Linked DNA regions of Drosophila melanogaster. The protein of the gene in region 2 purifies or fractionates together with the protein of the main gene of each other region. This does not show direct contact. Each region holds a gene or a part of one and is shown on either strand. Other genes may lie near its edges.

What was found.
Region 1: the proteins of Fnta (region 2) and Fntb purify together in Drosophila melanogaster (affinity purification with mass spectrometry, with the first as the bait; one large-scale study listed by BioGRID). This does not show direct contact.

Annotation. Positions count from the first base shown.
Region 1 is NT_033777.3:16,430,985-16,435,508, reverse strand, and holds Fntb (farnesyl transferase beta subunit), read right to left. Parts: upstream 2,512-4,524; 5' UTR 2,427-2,511; coding exon 2,328-2,426; intron 2,272-2,327; coding exon 2,015-2,271; intron 1,953-2,014; coding exon 1,281-1,952; intron 1,225-1,280; coding exon 993-1,224; 3' UTR 769-992; downstream 1-768. Other genes in the region: CG14881 (uncharacterized protein), read right to left, coding at 1-153, 208-375, 436-544; CG31279 (uncharacterized protein), read right to left, coding at 2,713-2,910, 2,969-3,394, 3,802-4,227, 4,318-4,511.
Region 2 is NT_033779.5:4,828,396-4,832,271, reverse strand, and holds Fnta (farnesyl transferase alpha subunit), read left to right. Parts: upstream 1-1,578; 5' UTR 1,579-1,664; coding exon 1,665-1,803; intron 1,804-1,871; coding exon 1,872-2,232; exon of another isoform or gene 2,233-2,292; coding exon 2,293-2,788; 3' UTR 2,789-3,058; downstream 3,059-3,876. Other genes in the region: Ir25a (ionotropic receptor 25a), read left to right, coding at 1-268, 340-855, 911-1,304.

The DNA.
Region 1 (4,524 bases), on a different chromosome or scaffold from region 2:
TCAGAAGTAAATCCCGTTCAGTCCGTTCACCAAATTCCAGTAATTGGTAAAAGAGCGCCAGGCTGTGAAGTACTATTTCCGGGTGATCAGTGCGCACAAAGAGGCCGGTTAGCAGTTTTAGCTGCTCTCTGATAAATTTGGCAGCCGTTTTGTCTGCAATAAGAATATGATGAACAAGGTTGGTTTGAAAATCAAATGTTTGCTTACCCAGGCAAAGGTTACACAATGCCGCAATTCCGTGCACTTTTAATAGCTGATCCTGTGTCTCCAGCGATGCCACAAATACATCCAAGGCGTCCGCCTCCAGGAGATGCGACCAGTTGATGGGATCGTATGCAAAATTGGCCAAATTAGCAGTCACCTGCTGCTGGGCCTCTAATAATGAAAATCAAAAATGAATTCACACCGGCAAAATGACGTGAATAAAAACCTTACCGATGTTGGTTGTCGTATAATACTCATCGACCAGGTGACCAATGTACTCCCGGCGGTCAATGCCCTGGGCAGGCGTCCTCCTCTTCAATGTCCTGTGGCTGGAGAACATAAAAAGGATGCGAAGGCAAAGCTGCGATTTGAAATCAGTCCCAAAATGCCATTCACAACGCAAACTATTCATGTTTTACCATTCACATATAAACGTGCTGAAATACATTGGGGGCAAAATAATAGCTTTCGGATTCAAAGCCACATTTATAAAAGTTATTTGTTTCATCTCATTTTTTTTTATAATGAGCAATTGGGTTGTTGTACAAAATCACACATGAATTTATTTGAAAACATAATAATTTTATTTCGAAATAATATATGACATAAATATTTTTTAGAAAACGTTAAACATTTTAATCAATTCCTTTTCCAATAAGTACATTTATACAAGAAGCGAAAAATACAATATTTCAAAGATTAATTTATTAAACCAAGTTTAGTTCTTTAAAGGTAAACCACCAGCAAAACGTCCTCATTACGCAGGCTCCTCCTCCTGACCTGAAGCCTTAACTCTCCTCCTTGCTGGGACTGTCTTTCCCCAAGAACTCTGTGTCATTGGAATTGCTGAAGTGGCTCCTGGCAGCTGCAACTGACTTTGGTGGGATGTTGAACAGTGGGTGGGTAGGCAGTAGCTCGTTAATGGTGTCGCCCAGGACCTGGGGGCTGCTGGCGCACTCCGAGTGCTGGGCAATGGAAACGCCACTAAGAGTATAGCATGTGTGGTAGAGATCCTGCGGTCTGAAAATATGGGTTTTACATTAAAAAACATCACAATGTTGGCATTAATCCCTTACTTTCCGGGTTTGTCGATAAGCCCGCCGCTCTGCTTTTGGCAGCAGAGCAGGATGTACTCCTGCAGGGCCTCCACATCGAAAAGGGTGTGCTCCATTTGCTTATCGACGCCGGATAGCGTTGCCTGCGTAATGGGAATGGTGGCTCCCACCCAGAAGGAGTAGCAGCCATCAACCAGTTTGTTGGTCCTCCCTTGGAAGCCGCCTTCGTAGGTCATCTGACGGCGCAGTGTCCATTTGAGCAAAGCCTGCCTGTCGCACTTATCAGCCTCGTTGAGCAGCGCCAGGCCCGCGATTCCGCAGAAGGTGTAGCCACCATGGGCCTCCAGACCAGGGGCTCCTCCAAATCCTCCCTCGTATGTCTGACACTGGGCTATCCAGTCGCCAGTGCCGGCAAATAGCTCCTTGATCACTGGCTCGGGAAGATTTAGCAGCTTTGCGCAGGAGATTGCGCAGTAGGCGCCACGCACATCCGTCTCACCATCCACGTGGAGCCGGAAGGAGCCGTCTGAGTCACGTACACTGAACAGGAACTGGACCAAAGTCGGTCGGTCTATGGCACGGTACGCCTGCTCGCTTCCGATGATGCACAGACTGTTCACTGCTGCATAGGTGGGCGCCAGATGGGCATACTGTCCAGGTCCTCCTCCAAAACCCCCAGTCGGCGAACGGCAGCTATGAAAGAGTGATTGGAGCATTAAGGATGCCTATTAGAGAAATATCCTTCAAAGACGCACTTGCTTAGAAACTGGACCACGTGGTTCAATGTCTGGTCGTCGAAGTTAAAGCTAAGTAGCTGGGCCGCCTGCAGGATCCAGTAAACGCACCACGCGCGACTGCTGTCCAGGCACTCGTAATTGGACGGCAGCCGCCTCAGCATCGCGTCCAGGTAGTACTGGTGCTCCAGCCGGAAGATCTGGGTGAGGCGCGGGTCGGTGAACATTATCTGCTCGAAGCGGTCGAAGCATTTCTCCACCGAACTCTCCGTCTTTTGCTGCAAGTATTCATCGGCTCTTATCTTTTCCTGGGCGACATTCGGGGATTACTCACTTGCTCGCGGGATGTGGTGGTGGACACCTTCTCGTCGTCGAAGATGTAGCTTTTCAGGCGCTGGAAGTTGCGGAACATCAGCTCCTCCTCGGTTCCCATTTCTACTCCGAGCCGGTTAAATTAAATTAAATAAACTAAAAAGATTTGCCGAGCAGGAATTTTAAGCGAATGGTTTTTGTTTGTGTGATGTAAATTCAACTTGCAACACTGCTTTTTATTTGATTAGGGTATTCCCTATACAAAAACTCGATTTATTTTCCTTTGGCTAGATATTAAAAAATTTTACATTTTAATAATTCATTATTTCCAACATTAAAGCCAGTAATATACAATTAAATATTTATAAAAAGACCATAAATTCACATTTAAAATTCTTAAAACTCGGTTATCGATGTGACATCAAACTTTCTGTGGTGACGAGATTGTAGGCGGTGGATTGAGAACTGGAGTCCAACATAAATGTCTCGGGTGCATCGTCACTAGTCCACAAGCCATACAGTTCCATAAATCCATAGACAAATAGACACACTATAAAATAGGCCGTCAGAGTGGCGAAAACCTGAAACACAATTAGCAATAAGATCTGCAATAATTGTATAATATAAATTTACATTGTTCGGGCACCGACATCACAAACTCACGAAAAAGCTTCCTCTGAGAATCAGGAACAGCCAGCCCTTCCAATCCAGCTTGCCGATCCACGTGATGAGGGGTTCCGATCCCGATGAGACATTTTGTGGACTGGGATCACCTATGGCACCGATTTCTCCGCCTTCCCCCCAGCTATCGCTCCTTAAAGGAAGATACCAGTCGTAATAGAGCTGCGTTAGCATGGGCACCTCAAATGGCGATTTTTTCTTGATTTTCTTCTCGATTGTGGGTTCAACTGCGACCGGCTCGGACTGACCATCCTGCAAATGCTGAAAGCAGTCGTTAAAATCGGCCAGGGTTAGCTTACGCAAATTGTCGCAATCATCTGACTTCTCATGCTTGGAATGGACAAAGTGCCTTGTTGGCCTGGTATTTTTCTTGTAAGGAAGCGCTTTGTTGGCTTTCGGCTCATGCTGCTAAACGGTAAGATTAATTTAGTATATAAAAATAATAGCTTGATAGAAATAGAAAATATAATAGAAAAAATATTACTGGCACACTCAAATCGTGTTCCAATAGGCCCCGGCGAGATTCGAACTCACGATCTCCTGTTTACTAGACAGGCGCTTTAACCAACTAAGCCACGGCGCCATATTCACGCATGTGGCACGACTTTACTTTAGTGCTTCCTCAACAAAAAATTTGTACATACGCACGCACTGCTTGACCCCATTGTTGCGATGCAAGCAGTGCACGAGCTTCAAGCCAAATACGTAAGATGGCGCCTGTGAGAATGCGTTGATATGGGTATTTAAACGCACGCAGATTTTCAATATTTTAGAAAAGGTAAAAACAAAAAGTTATTGGTATTAACAATATTTACCGATGGTGGCCCCCGCAAATCCAAAAAATTAAAGTCGAACTTTCCTTGCTTAATGAGGTCCAGCTCCTCCTCGGACACGAAATTGCCAGGATCGACGCGCTCGTTGCTGAAGATGTCGTAGTACTCGCCTGGGGCCGAGCAATCAGTCACCGGTTCGCACTGTTCCGTTTCCCTATTGAAAAAGCTCCGTTTCCCAAAGTAACGCTCCTCACAGTTCAGCGGTGTGCAGTTGCGCAGGTAATCCTTGTCCCAGTTGCGACAGTCCTTGTAATCCTTCCGCCGGCGCAGCTTGTTGCCGTGCGGATCCAGGGTCTCAAAGCGGGTGTCAAAGTGCAGCACCTGCCTCGCGGTTGCCACTGCATCCGTAGCGTGGGCACTTGTGGCTGAGATTAGAATGGGGCAGCTGCCCACACGGTTGTACAGAGACTGTAAGCAAATGTGGAATGTGCAATTTCATATGCCAATATGTCAATATGCAAGTGTAAATCTATAAGAATCAATGATCATTGGACCTACCACAGTGGGCCAGACCAGGGAGACAGTTTCACTCTTGCCCGGTTCGACGGAGCCAAAATCCCCGCCAAAGATCCTTCCCATCGCGTGCACCTGCTCCCCATGGGTCGTGTTCACAGTGCATTCCCCATTCGAGACGACATTGAAGTCCAGCGTCTCCCTTTTGTCACTCCTGATGCGATTGGTGACGGTCAGATCTGTTGGGATCTG
Region 2 (3,876 bases):
AGTTCCTTACCGTGCTGGAAACGAACGTGTGGCTTTGCATCCTGGCTGCCTACTTCTTTACCAGCTTTCTCATGTGGATCTTCGATCGCTGGAGTCCCTATAGCTATCAGAACAATCGAGAGAAGTACAAGGACGACGAGGAGAAGCGCGAGTTCAATCTGAAGGAGTGCCTCTGGTTCTGCATGACTTCATTGACACCTCAAGGCGGTGGCGAGGCTCCAAAGAATCTGTCTGGCCGTTTAGTGGCCGCCACCTGGTGGCTATTCGGGTGGGTAGTTGCTCTTCATTTGCTTGTAAACTCTTTCCTTTTTAAAAGAGTTTTTTTGTTCTTCCCTTAAGTTTTATCATTATTGCTTCGTACACGGCCAATTTGGCTGCCTTCTTGACCGTATCACGTTTGGATACGCCCGTTGAAAGCTTGGATGACCTGGCGAAGCAGTACAAGATCCTATACGCTCCATTGAATGGCTCATCTGCGATGACATATTTCGAGCGTATGTCCAACATAGAGCAGATGTTTTACGAGATTTGGAAGGATCTGTCGCTGAACGACTCCCTGACCGCCGTGGAGCGCTCCAAGCTGGCTGTTTGGGATTATCCAGTGAGCGACAAGTATACCAAGATGTGGCAGGCCATGCAGGAGGCGAAGCTACCGGCCACCCTCGACGAAGCGGTGGCCCGGGTTAGAAATTCGACAGCTGCCACGGGTTTTGCCTTTCTGGGCGATGCCACCGATATACGCTACCTGCAGTTGACCAACTGTGATTTGCAGGTGGTGGGCGAGGAGTTCTCCCGGAAACCCTATGCCATAGCTGTTCAGCAGGGATCGCATCTCAAGGATCAGTTTAATAATGCGTGAGTAATGGGAAAATATAGATGTGAGCTTCTTCATATCGTTGTGGTGCTTTAGAATCCTGACCCTGCTCAACAAACGACAGCTGGAGAAGCTCAAGGAGAAGTGGTGGAAGAACGACGAAGCTCTGGCCAAGTGCGATAAGCCGGAGGATCAATCGGATGGCATCTCGATCCAGAACATTGGCGGCGTCTTCATTGTCATATTCGTGGGCATTGGAATGGCCTGCATCACGCTGGTCTTTGAGTACTGGTGGTACAGGTACCGCAAGAATCCGCGGATCATCGATGTGGCCGAAGCCAATGCGGAGCGATCCAATGCTGCTGACCATCCTGGCAAGCTGGTCGATGGTGTGATCCTTGGCCACTCGGGGGAGAAGTTCGAGAAGTCAAAAGCTGCACTGCGTCCGCGCTTTAATCAGTATCCGGCCACGTTTAAGCCTCGTTTCTAGAATTACTCGTATACCAATGAAACGAATATTATGGTAAAATGAGCACTCGGATGTCTACGTCTAGTTTTAAAGAAATCAGTCACTTTGTGCACTTTTATTGAACTCTTAATAAATGTTTAAACAAAATAATTGTAAAACCTTTGTATTTATTATTTTTGAATTTCAAATAATATTTCAAAAGCCGCTGGTATTTCTAGTTTAGTATTAAATACCGCCTTCTGCTATCGAGAAATCGACACCGATAGGTTCGGACAATAAAACGCCCCCGATATCGATAGGCCCGATAAATTCGGACAAAAAAGAACAACATAAAATTCCGCCCGCACCCGCGCTCAACAGTTTTGTTTTTAACTAACCGCGATGGGAGACAGTTCAGATGAGGAATATCTGGGCACGGACTGGCTGGCTTACAGCGAACGCTCCGACTGGGAAGATGTGCAACCGCTCGCCCAGGACGACGGTCCCAATCCGGTGGTGTCCATTGCTTACAGTCAAAAGTGTGAGTAATGCATGCGGCTTTATCTCTGGATGTCACTTTATCTGAGCAAATATCTCCGTACATCGTAGTTCGCGAGGTCTTCGACTACATGAGGGCCATAATTGCGCGGGGGGAGAAGAGCCAACGTGCCTTGGACCTAACCACGGACGCACTGCGTCTGAATCCGGCTAACTACACGGTCTGGCAATACAGACGCGACGTTCTGCGCGAACTAAAGGCTGATCTGTATGCGGAACTGGACTATCTGACCGAGGTGATTGGCCAGAACTCGAAAAACTACCAGGTTTGGCACCACCGTCGCGTCATCGTCGAGATGCTGAACGATCCCAGCAACGAGCTGGAGCTTACTGAGAACGCCCTGGTCAACGATGGCGATGCCAAGAACTACCACGCCTGGCAACATCGCCAGTGGGCCATTCGCAGCTTTAAGTGAGTAGTCGTATGTTTATTAAGATTTACTTTCTATAAATTAATGTCCACTACTTTTAGTCTCTATGACGATGAACTTAGCTTTGTGGATCGTCTCATTAGCGAGGATCAGCGCAACAATTCGGCCTGGAACCAGCGCTTCTTTGTGATCAAGCATTTTGGATTCACGCCGGAGCTGATCCAGCGCGAACTGTCGTACACGATGAATCGCATTCGCATCATCAAAAACAACGAGAGTGCCTGGAACTATTTGGTGGGCGTGATGCGGCAGGGCGACAGTGGAAATGCCCTGCTGAGCAGCTACCCGGATGTCGTGGACTTTGTGGAGGAGCTCTACCAGGCTGGCAATCGATCGCCCTACCTGCTGGCCTTCCTCATCGATCTCTACCAGGAGCAGGCGCTCCAACTAAAGGCCAGCGATAGCGATCAACTCGCCCGCAAGGTGTACGGTCTGTGCGAGGACATGGCCACCAAACACGATGTGATTCGTCGCAAGTACTGGCAGTATGTGGCCAACCATCTGAAGAACCAGCTAAGCACGGTCGAACAGAAGTAGCAGCAGTTGTCCAGGTTACAAATCCATTATTGCTTAGTTTTAAGCCACATACGACGTACTTAGGCCTTCTTCTTTATACATAAATAAAATTTAATTTACCGTCAAGTGAGCTGAGCGCCAAGAATGTTGCAAAACCCCAGTCACATACTACACATTGCCACATGCCCTGATGGGCGGCTGTCTTCATCTTTGCCGCGCATCCGTCCGACTCTGTTTATCTAAGTGAGCTGTTGTGTTTGCACACGTAAATTTCATTAACAATGAGCAGATAATTTTAGCGCAGTGTCTGCGCCAGCTGAGGCCAGTCGGCGGCTAAAGTGAGCTTGTAAATTATGCAAACAATTAATATTTTTAATGCTGGACTTTAGCAAGAGCTTCTGTTTTGTTTGCAAATGAATGTGGGAAGTATCGTAAATACTCAAGAAAATATTTCTAGAGCAAAAACTATCTTTACCTTCAGCTATCTGCGTTTAGTTGCCATCGCAATCGTTATCTTTTTCGTCAGAGACGGAAAGAACCTTCAGTGTGCTGTCTCAATATTGTTATTTATTTAAATTTGCTTCTTTTAGGTTTTTGTGTTTGTTTTTTTTTTTCTCATTCGTTTTTTAGTTCGAGTACATACAATATAGCAGTTTGTAATATATAACTTTTCATTTAATTTGATTTTCTTGCATACATATTGAGATTCGGTTTTTGCATTTTCGTAATCGAAAGCCACCAAAGATGATCCAGATTCTCATCGAAAATCATCCAAGGGGCCAGTGGGAATCAGGAATTGGTAATTTGGAATCGGGTTTGGGGGCTATGTACTTAAAATGAAGCAGAAGACATCTTTGGCGTGTTTTTTATTTCGTTTGTTTCTTTTTAGTTCAGCTAAATAGGAGCAAAATCATTGAGTACTCGTTTGCGTAGTTTAATAAAATTTCGTAATAGTAAAATATATATTTATTTTGTATTTTTGTTTGGTTTTCGCTTCGTTTCGTATTCCCTTCATGGGGTTTTGGGTTTATATGTATATATATAAATTTGAAAAAAGCCTATAAATCCAAATATGTTTGGTTGGTACGCGACCATTTAAAATCAAAGCA